Linked DNA regions of Drosophila melanogaster. The protein of the gene in region 1 purifies or fractionates together with the protein of each later gene. This does not show direct contact. Each region holds a gene or a part of one and is shown on either strand. Other genes may lie near its edges.

Region 1 (4,084 bases):
GTATTCATTAGAGTAGTTTAAAAAAAAATCTAACATGTTATAAAATATTATTTATAGCACGACACATTTCATTTCACCTAGGATTTGGTTATATGTTGCTTTAAACTTCAATTGTAAGTTTCTGTAACAGTTGCTTAGGATAGACTTTAAATTCATTGATTTTAATTTTCTCATTGTATAGAAATAGTAATACCCATCGATTAAATTATTTCTTTTTGAGAGATGCAGTTCTATTCGTTTTTCTCGACTATCACATTCCCGTTACAGTTCAACATTTTGTTGTGATATCGACACAAATTGTATAGTAAAATTATATCACTTACAGTTCCTGAAGTTTTAAAAAATGTTAGACGGAAAAAACTGCCAAATCAAATCACATGTTGCATATTTATTTTTTTAAAACTCCATAAAATCATCTAAGGAGTATACATATTTGTTTTTCATGCATGTAATGTTAGCTGAATTTTGAATACAAATTTACAAAATTTAATTGGTTAATCGCTTGGTTAATTTCACTATTATAGTAAGGTAATAGTAATAGTACAGTATAGTAAGGTAAAATATAAGGTAGTTCATTTAATGCAACAATGGCAAGGAAAATCCTTCAAGTCCCTAACATTGTTATAAAACTTAAATAGCTTATCAACACTTCCATTCGCAGTTCCGCCCTCCTTCAGTTTTGCTACCCTGGCAGGAAGTCAGCAAACATTAGGGAGTAACGCCGCAGTGGTCCTGCAGCGGATCCACTTGCCCAAGTTTCCTGGATTTTCCACACTCATTGGGACAGCTCCTGCTCACGGAATGGAGGACTCTGGCCTGGACATGCACATGTACAGGTCGTACGGATCGCTTAACACGGATCACACAGGTCGGAGTCTGGACACTTTCGGATCCCTCTGTGGTCCACTGTCCGAACATGTCGAGGAGCAGGAGCAGGAGGCAGAAGAGAACCTGGATGTGACTGCCCAGGTGCATCGGCCGATTCAACGGGCAACGGTTTCGGAGGTCGAGAACGTCCTACAGGACGAGCACCTGTTCTAATGGAAAAGTGTCTTATATACGTATTGCCAACCCCAGTAACAAGTAACATAAGTGTTCAAGACTAAGGCTTATAAAGGATTTTTAGGCCGGGTCCTAGTACGTCGTCTAGTTTTAGTGAGCTTTCATTGCGCAAATTTGTACACTCGCGTACCATCCAAAATTGATCGAATCGAACTTATTGAGTGCCATAATCTCCTTTTTCTAGTATACCTATAACCGCTTTTATACATCCGTCAAACATTTTCGATTTAAATATGTAATCGACTCGATACATATACTAATTATTGTAAGTACCAATTAATGCGTTCTCAAGTGGACAATAAATAATTGCAGTATACAAACAATCAGTTTGTGAATTGTATTTTGTGTTGCGTGGGGATGGAAAGATATTTAAACGAATTCTTGAAAGTTTAGCGAAATATTTGCTTATTGAGTTAGTGGCTTAAAACGTTTGAATGTGAACCAAAATTATTACGTAGCAAAATTGATGAATGTATTAAAATGAAAGGTCGATAACTTTTTCTTGGCTATTTACAGAGAAATTGTACTCATCACTGGTCTTGCGAGTCCTTGAATCCGTCATATAAACGAAGTTTTCGCACATATGTAGGCTACACCTGCCATCGGATGTAACGTATTTTAATTAAATTACAAATTGTTTGGTACGCGATAGCACTCCTCACCCGGCATAAGATAAGATATAGCTCTGGTGATAATAGCCATGGTAGTGGTACCATTCACACCTAGTATATCCGATAAGGCCGCGTCCAGTCCTGTTCTTAATGGGCGGGCATGTTGTCAACAACTGCCAGACATCGGTTAGCAGTCGAGCCGTCAACAGAGTCCAGAGAGCTGAAAATGAGCCACCGCTGTGAGATCCAATTGGACAACCCACGGGGGGTCTATAGGGCCGGCGATACGGTCAATGGTCACGTCTATCTGACCCTTTCGGAGCGGGCCCTAATCAAAGGTAGGTTGGAGCATGACTCATGGGCTATCCCGTATAACATGGCCATCCAGTGGCGCTGATTCACCGATCGAGATCTGGTTTCTTTTATGGACTTCCAAATTGCTGATAGTGTTTGTCGCACTGAAATCAAATTGCTAATACCTTTCAGTGAGCTTATCAACTACCAGGCAAATTTGATTAGTAACTTTTCATAATCGGAACTTGAAAAATATTTGTGCAAATTAATGTGGTATACTTATAAATTATAATAATCTTCATAAATCGTTAATTCTTTTGGCTTATGCTCTTTATTTCAGCAATATGCCTGGAGGCCAATGGATATGCGAGCACTGCCTGGCAGCAGCCCCAAAAGCACAAGAATCAAAAAAAGAACGAGCAGCCAGTGGTGGTTCAGAGTTTGGACTTTGATTATCGCGTGGATTATTTTGCCAAAATCGATTATTTTGTGGGCTCGGAGGCCGCACAGCCACAGATAATGGAGGCGGGCACCTACAATTACGGTTTCCATGTGAAGCTGCCCAAGAACTGTCCGGGGAATTTCGAGGGGGGCCACGGACACATACGGTACACACTCCAAGTGCTCATCCACAGCAGTGCAGATCGTCCGCTGGAGGTGCTCCATGTACGCCAGCTGCAGATTTTCCCGCAGAACTCTCTGAGCCAGGAGACGCGGAGCTGTGAGATCCAGATCTATGAGCAGACTCCTCGCCTTAGATTCTGGATGAAGCCACTTCATCTGCAGCTCCAGATTCCCAGGCAGGGTTATTCGCCAGGAGCAGGTATTTCTGTTCACTTAAAGCTGCATAACCCGGAGAAATTGACACTTCGCGAGGCGGTGTATTCCCTCGTTCAGATCAGCACTTACGTTGCCCATCTAAAGAATAAGCCCAAACGCTTGGAGACCAAGGTGGAGCGACAAACTGTCCTAAGCAGCCGCCACGAGCTCCACAACCTCCCCCGTGGAGAACTGCAGAATTTTCAGCATCTTCACATGCTGCAAGTGCCACAAACAGCGGCCACATTGACTGTGGCAGGATGTGCCTGCCTGCAGCTCAACTACGAGGTGGAGGTGCTGGTCACAACTCAGCAGGAAAAGCGCTTAATTGCGGCCCGGATGCCGGTCATCATTGGAAATGTGACGCCGCCCTGTCCTGGCAAACTCCTAATGCAAGAACCCATTGATGGCACTGCTCCGGAACCAACTCCTCCAGTCGAAACAGCATCAACATTGATTCCGAATTTTAGCATTTCCACCACATCTTTGGGTACGTCTATTCCCGATTTATAGAATATCCGTTTGCATTTTATATTTCGAATTTCTTTCTAGCTTCGAATTTCCGGGAAGCCGAGTTCATGGTAGCCACCAATCTGAATAAGACCAACAAACATTACTTGTCCGGCGAACAGTTGGATTTTAGACCACGCTATGTCTACTACGAAATGGACCAGACTCAATCGGAGGAAGTGAAGTCTCATTAAATGCACGCCACTATTTTATTTTACTAATTTATTTCATTCACTAGCAAAATTACACAAATATATATTATTCCATTATCACAAGTGGTAACTGATACTTTTACTGGTGGCAATTTTAAATCAAGGGAATGATTTATTTTAAGAATCAATATCATATACCTAGAACGATCTTTTAACGCATTCACTTTCAAGTACCAATTTTGAAATTTTGTTTATATTTAATAAAAGAAATATTGATGTGTGGGTATTGATAAGTAAGTGATAAGTATTGATAAGTGTGTTCTATGTGGAATCGAGAATATTAGCGATGTGATTCGATATTGTTGACTTAATTAGAAAGGATTTGCATAGAATCTGATTTATTGCCCATTGCCCAACAAATATATTGTAGTTGAACCTACAGATAGAGTTGGATAATTCGTCACATAAGTGCGAGTGTTACGCTAAGAATTTCGAATTTAAAATATATTTTCAAGGAAATTTTGTTCATTGATGACTTTCTAAACTAGAAAATTTGGTTGGATAACTTATATATATTCCTAAGATTTAGTTTCACGATAAACGGTTAAACTATGTTTATTGGTAACATCCAAAGCT
Region 2 (3,836 bases), about 20 Mb from region 1:
CGAAGACCCTGAGGTGGATGATGTGTCCTCATCATCGGATTCTGATGGTGCTCGTATTCGTTTCGCCTGAAGATCCTGACCCTCCGAAGGAGGCTCAGTTGGCACCGGCGACTTCTCCTCCTTTCTATCGCTGCAGTTGTCCAAATTGAACGCAACCTTGCATGCACGCAGATGCTCCATGGCGGCCCGCGATGTGGACGGCTCGTCATCGCTAAGCACTTTCAGTGAATCAGGCTGCGGGGAAGCAGCTTCGTCAGTGGCGTTGCCGTTGGTATTTTTTTTAGCAACGGCTTGTTTGGAGTGCAGGATCTGTGGCGACTCAAGCAGCAGTTCCTTGAGATTCTCGATAGCGCTAAAACACTGCAGATCTGAGTTGTTGATGGGCGTCTGGCGAAGATCTAGTGACTGAAATAAATAACCCTTTATAAAGAATATTCGCCGATTGCACCTATGCCAACCTCTAGTTTTTGGAAACCGAAACGTGCCGCCATGCTGCCATAGGGCACAAACTTGCATAGCGCCTGACAGCCCTTAAGACTAAGACGCCGCAAGGAAGGTAACTTCGACAGGCCCATAATATAATAGGGCTCGAACCAGCTGTTGTCCTCAATACTGAGATCCTAAATAAGACGGGGTTAGGCTATTCATTGGACTGTCGTTCGCTCAAACTCACCTCTAGATCAAGCAGATGCAGCTCTATGGAGTAAAATATGCTTTTTGGCGTGTCGCCGACCCTAACGCTACAGTCCTTTAGCTTCAGACGCCTCAGAGTGGCCGGGAACTCAGTTATGTGTATCTGAAGAAAAGATAAAATTGGGGTAGACCAGGGAAACTTGCGAGATGCCAGCACTCACGTATTCGAAGTCCAGGCTGACGCCCTCCAGCTCCAGCACTTTAAGCTGTACAACCCTGGGGAAAACGGAGCTTAGCGTTTGGGTGAACTGGCGGAATTCGCCTGCAACATGCTGCGAGGACGGAGGTCCGCAGATTTTAATGGTGTGTGTCTTTTCGGTGGCTCGTCCAAGAATCTCTTCTAGGATGCCCATAGGCAGGGGCCCGTTGCTTAAGTCTATGTGATGATAGAAGCGGTGATCCAGCAGGAGGTTTTCAAAGCGCGGCGAGCAACTGGAATATTACGGAATGTTATAATATGGAAAGGACATGGAAATCTCAGCGACGCAGAGATCTTTGTTGATAGCGGACTACTTACTGCATCACCGCCAGAATGGAGGACGTGTCCAGGTACTGGAAGATCTCGAAGAGCAGCTCATCACAGAAGTCCATGAGGTTGCACTCCGTTTCCCGGTCGAGGGATTCCTTATGCTCCTTCTCCCTTTTGCGCTGTTTTATCTCCGGCTCCTCCTCGGTAGGGATTTGTGGCAGCACTGGCTGCACGGGCACGGCGGCCAGCTCCCGCCCACAACGTTCGTTGTCCGGGAAGCGGCGCTTAGGCGCTGCAAGGCACGTACTGCCCAATTCGGCCTGTTCCATGCTTGGGCTGCTCCTGCACTTTATTGCCAATTTTCGCCAGCAGCTTTTTTTCCAGCTAAATGCAATTGGTCAAGTGTGACCGCAGTCAGATCCCGAGATAAGCCGCTAGTAGGGGTATTCCTATGTCGAAGAGATGAAACTGGCTTCCGAATTTCCCGGTAATTTTTAATGTCGTTTTTATTATTATATTATTTTTTTTCTTGATTATTACGATTTGATACTAAAGGCGGTGGCACTAGCTGCTCATAGTTATACAATTGAGTCGTCTGGTAAAATGGGAACAATAACAAGTAGTTAATAATCGTTTAATTCTTATGTAGATAATAAAGTTGCCTATTTTGCTATTTTCCTATTTCAAACAAATATTGCATATTATGAATGAAATTTAAAAATAAGGCGCATTACGCATGTGCATGTGCATTAAAAAAGTTATTATACAAATAGAATAAACACATTAAATTAAATAAGATTCCTGTTGTCATTACTAGCAAGCAGTGTTGGAAAACACCGTGCTGCCCTCACTAATTTCTACACCCGTCTCGTGTATTTTTGTGCCTGATTTACTGACTGAAAATGCACCTGCTGCGGAGCCTGCGCCAGCTGAATGGCCTCCAAGGAGTGCGCCAAGCTATCCGGCAGGTGTCCTCGGCGCCCACCAAGCCCGCCGCCCTGCAGTACGAGCGCGATCCGCAGCCGCTTTTCACGGATGCCGAAACCCAGCGGCTGCTCCAGTCCATGACGCAACTGAACTTGGACAAGGTGTATCGGAAGCGCACGGTGCCGGACAACAGCAGCGAAACGAAGTTCATGAGCAACGAGCAGCTGGACAACGAGTTCCAGAACTTGGTGGTGCGGGCTCAGCAAATTCTGCAAATGCCACCCATTGTGCAGATCAAAAAAGATGTGGAGCGGGTGATAGCCAAGGATACGGCGCTGAAGGACTTCGCCAACTCCAAGTTCGTATTCACGGACATCACCTTCGGCCGACGGCAGTCGGAACGCAAGGTAATCGTCCGGGATATGGACGGAACCTTGGCCTACGCCACTCTTGATACCACGAAGCGCATGAACCAGTTGTATTTCCCGCTGGAGGGTCGCCAGTCATATACTCCACGAATGTTCGCGCTGGAGGAGCTGCTGGCCAAGTGCTTGGCGGAGCACAAGTACGAGTTCATCCTGGATCGACTCTTGGTGCAGTACGAGCCACATGAGCCGGAGTTCCACAACATTTCAGCGCGTGTGTTCGAGCATCTCAACGAGTCCAAGGAGTTCGATCTTCTGCGCTCCACCCGCCACTTTGGACCCATGGCCTTCTTCTACGCTTGGCACCGCTGCATCGACGACCTGCTGTATGACATGATCCGTCGGGATTATCTGCACAATGCCGTGGAGCTGATTGCTCTGAGCTACAAGCTACACAACATCCCAGTGGAGTATCAGGCAACGCTGACCGAACTGGGCAAACTGCATGCCACGCCGGCGGAAAGTGCCCTGGCGGAGCTAAGAAGCGTCTTCCGACGACATGACAATAAGCAGAACATTGAGCAGGAGATCCATACGGCCATTGGCAAGACGGAGCACGATTTCGCCGCCGATGAGATCAGCCTGAAGTTCATTGAGCAGTACATCGCCAGCGAACATGCGCTGAAGAAGGTGCAACTGGAGCTGGCGGTGCAGACGCTTAAGGAAGTTAACCGGGAGAAACTGATGCTGTTCCAGGGACTGAAAAAGGCTCACGGCGTCCAGGCTTCGTAGGATCTATTCGCTTTATTGTTATCGATTTCTATGTACTAATAAATACCAGCTAGGTCAAGATTTCTATACGCTGTTCATAGCTCCTTCTTGAGGACCCTGGACAGCCGTCTAAAATGGCCAAGGATGCACTGTCTCCGGTGCCGCAGGCATACCCGCTCGCTGCTGAAACGCTTCAAGCAAACTGAGCAACGTCTGGGATCACCTCTTCCATTGGGCAACCCGTTGTGTTCGCGAAATAGGACGACCACTTTCGCCTTGGCACAACTCTGTTCTTTTTTTCGGTGTACCAAAAGAGAGGTGGTGGTCTTGAAGTAACGTTTGCACTGAAGACATCTGTAGCACTTCCTGCCGCTATGGTTTCTCAGGTGCCTGAGCAACTGCATCTCTGAGTGGCTCATGGCGTTGCAGAGTAGATGTGGGCATTTAAAGAGCATCGATGACTTCCTGGGCGCTAGAGCGGGACAGCTCAGACTGTGTTGCTTCAATTGTTTCTGGTGGTCCAGACGCTGACCACAGCGAAAGCACAGAGCACCAGGTCCATAGTGCGCGGTCATGTGGCTCTGGTGCTCCAGCAAGGTTTTGGCCACATC
Region 3 (4,291 bases), on another chromosome or scaffold:
TGAAGAGCCAAGTGTCACGGAAATCGTCGACGACGACGATGAGGACGAATACGTTCCGGGCAATGTGACACGTGCGGACATGGGCAACGAGTCACAGGACAAAACAGAGTCCAACTCCGAGACCAAAGAACCGAAGAAAGATCAGGTTGAGCTCGGTGAACAGCAGCAAAACGAATCGGCCAATGAATCGGATGTCGAAATCCAAGAGCCGAACATTCCTTTCACGGATCTGGACACTTATGTGGAGAAAGAGATGGATGAGGCGACCAGGGCGGCGCTACTGAACGTAAAGATCAAGGAGGAGCCCAAGGATGAGTATGAGGAGGACGAGGATGATGGATTCGAAGACGTGGGCACGGTGGTTTCACTTTTACCTCTGCCCGAGGACGAGATCTCCATACACAGCAGCGGTAAGTTTCTAAACCTTTAACTGTCCTGTCCTCAGTATCACATTAGTTGCTCAATCATCTGGCATCCTGGCAGAAACTCAAACACACACCATCGGCTCGTCAGCCTCGCCGGCCACCATCGAGCGGCCAGCATCGGTGACCTCGCTCTCCCTGCCCGCCAATGAGGCGGACGAGTTGGAGCAGGGTGATGCAAACACCGATACGGATGCGGAATTGAATGGCGAGAAGCAGGAGGCCACGCATAACCTGAGCGCAGTGGGTCCGGCGTTACCTTTGGCTAGCATAGTTAATAAAATAAAGATAAATATCACTAAGAATACGAGTAGTAATAGTCATAATAGTGCCTCCAACACCACGACAACGGACTCGCAAGTCTCGGCCATAAGCGTCATCGGTGGATCAGGAGCAGCTGGCGGTGCATCCGGAGCAGGAGACCCTGTCCAGCAGGTGAATGCCATTCAAACCATTTCCACCATTCCAGTGCTGTGCGGCGGCAATACGTTCGTGCCCAAGATTGCGACCAGCACGCCCTCAAACGTAATCAGCTCGATCTCGGTAATTGGCAGCACTTACGGCGCAAGCAGCAGCAGCAATGGCAGCCGAAGCACTACTTCCACCGCATCCTCCGCACCAGCTGCTTCGCTTTTGGCGGAGACGGGCAGCCTGAAATCGCCAACTCCGCCGCTCGCCACAGTTGATCCGGATCCGGAGCCCGTCGTGGAACAAAAGCCGGCGCTGCGGAATGCCACGCTGAAGCGGACGAAAAAGGTGCAGAACGGCATCGAAACGTCGGGCCTGTGCTCGATCATGTAAATCAAATCGGCCGTCTGAGTGGAGGGACTTGGCGATATTCCTAATACGTTTTTACTACGATTACTTTTACACGTTACTTAGTTTTAGATAGCCAACGGAACGTTCTCCGCCGGAGAGCGACGCCTCGCCGCGATCTGTAGGTATTCAAATCCTTTTCGATGCGGCGCGCTCACATTCGTATACATAAATTATTACCGAAAAGAAGAATAAAAACCACTTGCAGAATAACATAAATTTGTGATAAATTTATAGCACTAGCAAGCCAAACACATTACTTTGACCACCAACAACAAGCTTAACTAATATGTAATTTTTTTATGCCCATTGGAGGAAACAATAAACAAAATGAATTCAAAAGCACATACTTAATTGATTTAATTATGATTTTTAGTTGTTAGTTGATTAATAATCGAAATATAACAAATAAAGATATATATTCAAGCTATAAACCGTGGTTTTTTTATTTGAAGCTGTTTTTTCGATTTTCAATTTACTTGGTTTAATTTTAATAATTTAAATATTCTGCCTTGCGTATAATTTTTGCGCCAATTTTAGGGTGGCCGTGTTGACTCGCAGTTTCATAGCATTCAGCCTGTTGATGTGCACTCGCCAAACAGCTGATACCACAAAAGTACTAAATTTGGACACGCGCCTTATATGCACGTGGAGACGTTCCTTCGTTTAAATTAAGTTTTTTATCAAAAATATTGAATTAAAGCCGCGCAACTAGTTACTTTCCACGATGTCGTCCTCTTTCTTCCTCAAGCCAGGCGCCAAGGGCACCAAGAAGCGCAAGGTAAGTGAATCAAGCAGCGTAGAGAGCGGCACCTGTAACGCTTTCAACAGAATCCCGCAGCAACAACAAAAGGAAAACCGCTTAAGAAAGGCGGAAAACCGGGTAAATCAACGCCCGCGGCTGGTGGACCAGTGCCAAAGAAGCAGCGCCGTCCCAAGGAGGAGGACGAGGAGATAGCTAGCGACGATGAGGAGTACAACAGCGATCTGGGCGGCGATGACAACACCTTGGCATTTTCATCCGACGAGGGCGAGGAGGAAACGCCGCAGGACAAGCGCCTGCGTCTGGCCAAACAGTATCTGTCGGAGATCGAGAAGCAAGAGGCGGAACGCGCCGAGGATCGGGAGCTGGCCCAAAGCGTGGAGCAGCGCTTGCAAACGGAATACTTGGATAGCGTGGGCAAACTGCGCCGGAACATTGCTGGCAGCCTGAAAGCCTGCGAATCGAGCCGCATCCTCAAGCACAAACTCCACCACACGCCTATCTGTGCCCTTGCACTCAGTCCGGATGGTAAATTCCTCTACACGGGAGCCAAATCGCAATTCCTACTTAAGTGGTGCACGGAAACGGGGAAGGTGCTGGAGAAATCGGACGTGCTGTCGCATCGCGAGGAACCAGAAACGGGCAAGAAAAGGCGATCGCATGTCATCAGCATATGCCTGTCCTCGGACATGAAGTATCTGGCCTTGGCCGAAGGTGGTCCACACATTCAAATTTGGTGTCCCCAGACGATGAAGCACATTAAGACTCTTAAAGGCCACCGGGATAGTGTGGCAGGTCTGGTCTTTCGCAAAGGCACACATGACTTGTACTCGGCAGCCAAGGATCGATCGGTGAAAATCTGGTCCCTGGATGAGATGGCCTATGTGGAGAGTTTGTGAGTACTATGCTAGTTAATCCCCCTTAATATCAGACATTTAACGAGCTCCTCCTTTCAGATTCGGTCACCAAACGGCAGTAACTAGCATAGATGCACTGAGTCGAGAGCGCGCCATTACCGCTGGCGGTTCGGATTGCTCCTTGCGCATTTGGAAGATCACAGAGGAATCGCAGCTGATCTACAATGGACACAAAGATAGCATTGAGTGCGTTAAGTACATCAACGATGAGCATTTTGTGTCTGGTGGCATGGATGGGTAAGTTGGGAGTCTGGCTAACTAATTCAGTATGGAAGTAACAACACCATTTTACAGAGCAATCGGTTTATGGAGCGCTTTGAAAAAGAAGCCCATTTGTACAACGCAACTGGCGCACGGAGTGGGCGAGAATGGCGTGGCCAACTGGATAACCGCCATTGCTGTGGTGGTCAACACGGATTTAGTGGCAACAGGTGGGAATTGCGCATATTTCTTACTGCGAACTGTAATTAAATATTCATGATTCTAGGTTCTTGTGACGGTTGCGTCCGTCTTTGGCAGACTAATCCCAACGCGCGTAAAATGAACCTAATCCAGAGCATATCCATCGCCGGCTTCATCAACGGACTGGCTTTCAATGCCGATGGCAGCAAGCTGTTTGTGGCCACCGGACAGGAGCACCGCCTGGGTCGCTGGTGGCGACTCAAGGAGGCAAAAAACCAAGTAGTTGTACTCGACGTTAAGTTACAGAGCGCGGCCAGCAGTTAGGTTAACTTCTAAGCTTAAGTAAAGTTGTATAGTTTTTGTAACAAGAAACGGCCTGAAAATATATACATAAAGATCATTTGTATCTTCTACCTGAAGGTTCTTACTTTCAAACATATAAAATTTATTTGTTCTTTATAAACAAGATCAAACGAATGTTTTTGAATTTATTAAATTTGCTTCAGATTGAAATTTAACTCCTTATATTAAAGTAAGGGGTATCTGGTCGTCTATTTCCATTAGCTCAAATATTTTTTCTAAAACCGATATTCGGTTTGTTATAACCGCAAATGGTTCCTTAGTGTTGGCTACTTTCAATAGCTAGTCATGGTCACACTGGCCCTGTTACAAAACAATAAGTGCTGAAATGTTGCCGAAATTAAAAACCGGTGGAGGGTTCTTCTCCTATTTTAAGACTGAAAAGGGCCGAAAACTCGTATTCTACGCGGCGGGAGCCACCACAGTGGGCCTCTTTCTTGGAAACTTCCTGCCGCACACATTCGGCCTGAAATATTACCGCGATTTCGTGCAATGCTACCAGTGGGTGAGAAAACTTTTGGTGACTGGAAGCGATTCTAACATCCCACTTCTTTTCATAGACACGGCGTGGGGCGTCCAGTGCCGGAGGCAGTGCAGCAGCGCCTGGAAAA
Region 4 (5,632 bases), on another chromosome or scaffold:
CTTGAGGATGTCTACATTGCGGATATAAATCTTCGGCTGGCGCGGCTTCTCCGGCTCCCCGACAACATCAGGAACTTCAGGGAGACTATTGTCCGTATTGACCGAATGGTTCTGCAGCTGGAAGTCGAACGGCAGCAAAGCGGTCTCCCTGAGCACGTCCACGCTCTTGATGGAGATCTTCTGGATGGGCTTTGGCGGCGGAGCTGGTAAATTCGCAGCAGGTGCTGTTGGCATTGTCTGTTCGGTCGGCGATGCACCTACAGCCACACCTTCCAGCAGATCAAGAATGTTAGCGGCGGACCCGCTATCCGGCATTAAGGGCGGGAAATCCGGGAGTGGCTCCCTTAGGCAATCTACGCTTTTTATAAAGATGCGGCTCTTGGGTCGATTTTGGCTCTGCGACATCTGAGTCTGCTTTTTAGTTTGTGCTTCAGTGACTTTTCTGCCCATAAGCGCAAGTGTCTCACTGTCCTCCATTTGATGGTCCAAGCTGAGGTGCAAGCTGAGCGCATCGCTGGTGTAGAAAATGTTTGAGCAGCCTGTCGAAAAACACGTGAAAAGTGAATGCAAATATGATGAAGCATTCCAGCAGAGCACTCATATTGAAGGCGCACTATGCCTCACCTGGACACTGTTTCCTGTGCTGCTCCATATAGCAGTTGCCCTGACTAAGGTGTTGCTGAAGACGCATCTGGCAGAGGCTTAAGAATGGACAATTAGGACAGCGCAGGATAAGAGGCGGACCCTCCTGAATGATTGCCTTGCCCTCCACGCTGGCGCAGCTGGAATTTCGAGTTGGTGGCGTTGGCGTGGCATTCAGGCGATCCTTGGCTGCCGCTTCCGCAAGTTCCGACTTGATTAGTTCCTCCGACTTAATTTCCGCTGTACGCCTGCGGAAGGCATTGCGGTAGCTTTTCTCTGGTTGCTGCAAGTCGGTGGTGTGGATCTGGACAAAGGGAATGCCCTGATTGGGCTGGGACTCCACCGCCACCTCAGTAGGTGATCGATTCCCGCCATCGGCCAGCCACAAAGTAGTTCCAGAAGGGGTGGTGTTTGCAGCAGACGCGGAGGCAGATCCGGATCCCGATCCGATGACCAGCTCTTCGTCAAAGAATCCCCCGAAGTTGGAGTCCTGCTCCAAGGAGTGAACCGGCGTGGAAAGCGACAGGTCTTGGTGCGGATGTGTAGGATGCGGATGCGACAACGGGAGCAGCTGGAAGACACACGGCGTGTTTTTCTGGCCAGAGGTACTCGCTGGTTGCTCACCTGGTTGCCGCCGTAATATCCCGGATAGGTCGCATCGCTCATCGTGGGTGCCTTCCTTGGTCCAGTTGATTCCCGGTGCCGGATTCCGGTTGCCGGTTGCCGGTTTTCCGCTTCCTGGGCACACGCCTCTTAATTCCGCATCACAAAAATTGGCATTACGCAGAAAAAAAACTTTTCATCACAAAATAACTGATAGCGAACAGCTGTTGCTGTACACAGTGTGGCAGCGGTGTTTGCACAACTATATTCGGTCACACTGTCGCGTTATGTTATGTCGTGTGTATAGGCCCTTTATTAAATTGAATAATTTAAGTTACCAATATTAAGACCGAAGTTAAATCAAACGGTATACGAAGACTAAATACAATATAATGAAATTTTTTTGTACTAAGCTAGAATAGTTTAACTAGAGGTTCTATAAATATACCAAAACGTGCTGGAGATATCGCTGTTATCGAAGACTAACCATCGCTAGCGGCTACTGCAAAAAAAAGAGCGGAGTTTCGTGGACTCGAGTGAAAATTGTGAAAATCCATTGTATACGCGACAGAAAGCAACATAAGGCCCCAGAATGCCGCGAATAATGATCAAGGGCGGCGTGTGGCGCAACACGGAGGTAATTATCCCAATAGTCTATCGGTTAACCACACATGGCTTACATTGGCTACCGATTTCATTTTCCCAGGATGAAATCCTCAAAGCTGCGGTTATGAAATATGGCAAGAACCAGTGGAGTCGAATTGCCTCCCTCCTGCACAGAAAGTCCGCCAAGCAGTGCAAGGCCAGGTGGTACGAGTGGCTGGATCCCAGCATCAAGAAGACCGAGTGGTCCCGTGAGGAGGACGAGAAACTGCTCCACTTGGCCAAGCTGATGCCGACGCAGTGGCGCACCATAGCCCCGATCATCGGACGGACGGCAGCCCAGTGCCTGGAGCGCTATGAGTACTTGCTGTGAGTCCAACGCACAACATACTAAGTAGAAAATTTCTGATCCCTTTCCTGCCGTACAGAGACCAAGCCCAACGCAAAGAGGATGGCGAGGACACGATGGATGATCCTCGCAAGTTGAAGCCCGGAGAGATTGACCCCAATCCAGAGACCAAGCCGGCGCGGCCCGATCCCAAGGACATGGACGAGGACGAGCTGGAAATGCTGTCCGAGGCACGCGCCCGCTTGGCCAACACGCAAGGCAAGAAAGCCAAGCGCAAGGCTCGCGAAAAGCAACTGGAGGAAGCCCGCCGCCTGGCCACTCTCCAAAAGCGGCGCGAACTTCGTGCCGCCGGAATTGGCAGCGGAAATCGCAAGCGGATCAAGGGAATAGACTACAACGCCGAGATTCCCTTCGAAAAGCGACCTGCCCACGGATTCTACGACACTTCCGAGGAACACTTGCAGAAAAATGAACCCGACTTCAACAAGATGCGGCAGCAGGACCTAGATGGAGAACTCCGCTCAGAGAAGGAGGAACGCGAACGCAAGCGGGACAAGCAGAAGCTGAAGCAGCGCAAAGAGAATGAAGTGCCCACCGCAATGCTGCAAAACATGGAGCCCGAGCGGAAGCGCTCCAAACTAGTCCTGCCTACGCCGCAGATTTCCGACATGGAACTACAGCAGGTAGTCAAGCTGGGACGCGCCAGTGAGATGGCAAAGGAAATTGCCGGTGAGAGCGGCATAGAGACGACGGATGCTTTGCTAGCCGACTACTCCATTACACCCCAGGTAGCAGCCACTCCACGTACTCCGGCTCCGTACACCGATCGCATCATGCAGGAGGCCCAAAACATGATGGCCCTCACCCACACAGAGACGCCACTCAAAGGTGGCCTGAACACACCGCTGCACGAGTCAGACTTCTCCGGCGTGCTGCCCAAGGCGGCCTCCATCGCCACGCCTAACACAGTGATTGCCACGCCGTTTAGAACCCAACGCGAGGGCGGAGCAGCCACTCCCGGCGGATTCCAAACGCCCTCCTCCGGAGCCCTAGTTCCCGTAAAGGGGGCAGGAGGGGCTACGGGTGTCGTCAATACACCTGCCTACGTGAGGGACAAGCTAAGCATCAATCCTGAGGAGAGTATGGGCGTCACCGAGACCCCAGCACATTACAAAAACTACCAAAAGCAACTAAAGTCTACACTGCGTGACGGTCTCTCCACGCTGCCCGCTCCACGGAATGACTATGAGATCGTGGTGCCTGAGCAGGAGGAAAGCGAACGCATTGAGACCAACTCAGAACCCGCCGTCGAGGATCAGGCGGATGTCGACGCCAGGTTATTGGCTGAACAAGAGGCGCGCCGAAAGCGAGAGCTAGAGAAGCGCTCCCAGGTTATTCAGCGTAGTCTCCCGCGACCAACTGAAGTGAACACCAAGATTCTGCGACCGCAGTCCGAGAAACAGAACCTTACGGAACAGCAGCAGGCCGAAGAGCTGATTAAACACGAAATGATCACCATGCAGCGTGAGTAAACCCAACGTTTCCATTTTAACCCAAGTAACTAACGTCCTTTTTCTTGGCAGTGTACGACTCGGTCAAGGATCCCGTGCCTGGTCAATCGCAGCACAAGTTGGAACAGCTACAAAGCTACTTTAAGGCCAATCCCTACGAGGACATCTCGCAGCAAGAGTTGGCGAAGGCCAAGCAAATGCTCACCGAGGAAATGGAGGTGGTGAAGGAGCGCATGGCGCATGGCGAACTGCCCCTAGACGTTTATGCCCAGGTGTGGCAGGAGTGCCTCGGCCAGGTTCTTTACCTACCCTCCCAACATCGCTACACACGCGCCAATTTGGCCAGCAAGAAGGATCGATTAGAGTCTGCCGAGAAACGGCTGGAGACAAATCGCCGCCACATGGCCAAGGAAGCCAAGCGCTGCGGCAAGATCGAGAAGAAGCTGAAGATTCTCACCGGCGGCTACCAGGCGCGCGCCCAGGTGCTGATTAAGCAGCTTCAGGACACGTACGGCCAGATTGAGCAGAACTCTGTCTCACTCTCGACATTCCGCTTTTTGGGCGAACAGGAGGCCATCGCTGTGCCGCGACGCCTGGAATCGCTGCAAGAGGACGTGCGTCGCCAGATGGACCGCGAGAAGGAGCTGCAGCAAAAGTACGCTAGCTTAGTGGAGGAGCGCGATTCGCTTTACTCTCAAATCGAACATATAACTGGCGTCAGGCCCACGGCCCAGCAACTCCTGCCCGACCAGGAAGCGTAAACCTTCTTTTGGAACCCAAGTCCGTTCTTATTTAATTACAGTAATTACATGCCAGCAAACAGCTATCACCACCTAATATCCCGATCCATATTCCTCGCTAGCGGCCGTACTTCTGGTAGACCCACTCCTTGTTGTCCAGCGGACAGACCAGGCGCGTTTTCAACCAGCGCGCGATGCAGTGGTAATGGAATGCGTGGTTGCACTCGCCCCAAGCCACAGTGCACTCGTCTTGGTTTGCATTCGGGTCCGCCTGGCACTCGATGCACAGGTTCATGATGTGGTTACGGCAGATGGCACAGTTGTCCACTGCTACGTCCCATCCCCACATGGCGTGCGCAACCCATTTCTTCACCACAAAGCGCTCCGTCCTGGCCTGGACAGCTCCTCCACTACAGGATGGCTCTTCGTCATTGAAGTCCATGTCGTGGAAGTCCTCCGTCTCCTCAACCTCTATCTCCTCGGCCATGGTGTGAAATTACGAATTTTTTTTCTTTTTCAAAATACAACACTTATTTTCGTATTCGAATTTGATTTGAACTATTTTAAATTCCATTTGTTTTTGGCCTGACAGTTAATAAAAAAAAGTTGACCACTACCGATTTATCTACGAAATAACAACGGCGAATAATTTTAAAAATAAATGCAGAAAAGAAATTAAACCTTGTGATCATATTAAGTGGGGCTCAAGAAAGCTTATCATCGGTAAACCACTTTTGAATCCCTAAATTTAGACAATTTTTTTAAACAAGAAAGAATGTTATAGTCGAATTTCTCGACTATCAGATACCAGATAGTGGGAGTGAGTTTGAGAGAGAAATTTCAAAATTATCTTGGCATATCGATAGAAATTTGTATTCCTTTTAACGAGTTTAATATACCCCTCTATGAGTAATGGGTATGATAACAAATTACGGTTTTTATAATGCCTTTCTTAAACAAAATAGCTGTTTCCCAAACTCGAATGTCATTATTATTAAGGAAGCTTTACTGCTAACGGGAAGTCATGGCTTAGGCTTAGGGTATATCAAATAAATTCTTTACACGTTCTTCTCAGTTTGGGAAAGGTTTTTTACCCTCTTCAGGTGCTTCTTGCCAATAAAGTGCTGTTGCAAGGTGCTCTCATGGTTCATCATCATGTTGCAGGGCTGGCAGTAGTACTGACC

What was found.
Region 2: the proteins of CG18744 (region 1) and mRpS22 purify together in Drosophila melanogaster (affinity purification with mass spectrometry, with the first as the bait; one large-scale study listed by BioGRID). This does not show direct contact.
Region 3: the proteins of CG18744 (region 1) and U3-55K purify together in Drosophila melanogaster (affinity purification with mass spectrometry, with the first as the bait; one large-scale study listed by BioGRID). This does not show direct contact.
Region 4: the proteins of CG18744 (region 1) and Cdc5 purify together in Drosophila melanogaster (affinity purification with mass spectrometry, with the first as the bait; one large-scale study listed by BioGRID). This does not show direct contact.

Annotation. Positions count from the first base shown.
Region 1 is NT_033777.3:7,796,563-7,800,646, reverse strand, and holds CG18744 (uncharacterized protein), read left to right. Parts: upstream 1-1,875; 5' UTR 1,876-1,899; coding exon 1,900-2,011; intron 2,012-2,307; coding exon 2,308-3,276; intron 3,277-3,338; coding exon 3,339-3,490; 3' UTR 3,491-3,569; downstream 3,570-4,084. Other genes in the region: CG3014 (uncharacterized protein), read left to right, coding at 662-1,041.
Region 2 is NT_033777.3:27,914,938-27,918,773, forward strand, and holds mRpS22 (mitochondrial ribosomal protein S22), read left to right. Parts: upstream 1-1,970; 5' UTR 1,971-2,064; coding exon 2,065-3,246; 3' UTR 3,247-3,311; downstream 3,312-3,836. Other genes in the region: CG5003 (uncharacterized protein), read right to left, coding at 1-405, 459-620, 674-796, 855-1,125, 1,211-1,491; Boh1 (buddy of Hmr 1), read right to left, coding at 3,321-3,836.
Region 3 is NT_033778.4:14,858,314-14,862,604, reverse strand, and holds U3-55K (U3 small nuclear riboprotein factor 55K), read left to right. Parts: upstream 1-1,846; 5' UTR 1,847-1,965; coding exon 1,966-2,019; intron 2,020-2,069; coding exon 2,070-2,896; intron 2,897-2,957; coding exon 2,958-3,155; intron 3,156-3,212; coding exon 3,213-3,349; intron 3,350-3,405; coding exon 3,406-3,644; 3' UTR 3,645-3,760; downstream 3,761-4,291. Other genes in the region: Pcf11 cleavage and polyadenylation factor subunit, read left to right, coding at 1-410, 484-1,223; CG33506 (uncharacterized protein), read left to right, coding at 4,009-4,181, 4,241-4,291.
Region 4 is NT_037436.4:357,334-362,965, reverse strand, and holds Cdc5 (cell division cycle 5), read left to right. Parts: upstream 1-1,582; 5' UTR 1,583-1,837; coding exon 1,838-1,882; intron 1,883-1,951; coding exon 1,952-2,217; intron 2,218-2,276; coding exon 2,277-3,721; intron 3,722-3,780; coding exon 3,781-4,469; 3' UTR 4,470-4,566; coding exon of another isoform or gene 4,567-4,935; 3' UTR 4,936-5,115; downstream 5,116-5,632. Other genes in the region: CG1233 (uncharacterized protein), read right to left, coding at 1-539, 625-1,213, 1,267-1,308; Roc1b (regulator of cullins 1b), read right to left, coding at 4,567-4,935; CG1231 (uncharacterized protein), read right to left, coding at 5,507-5,632.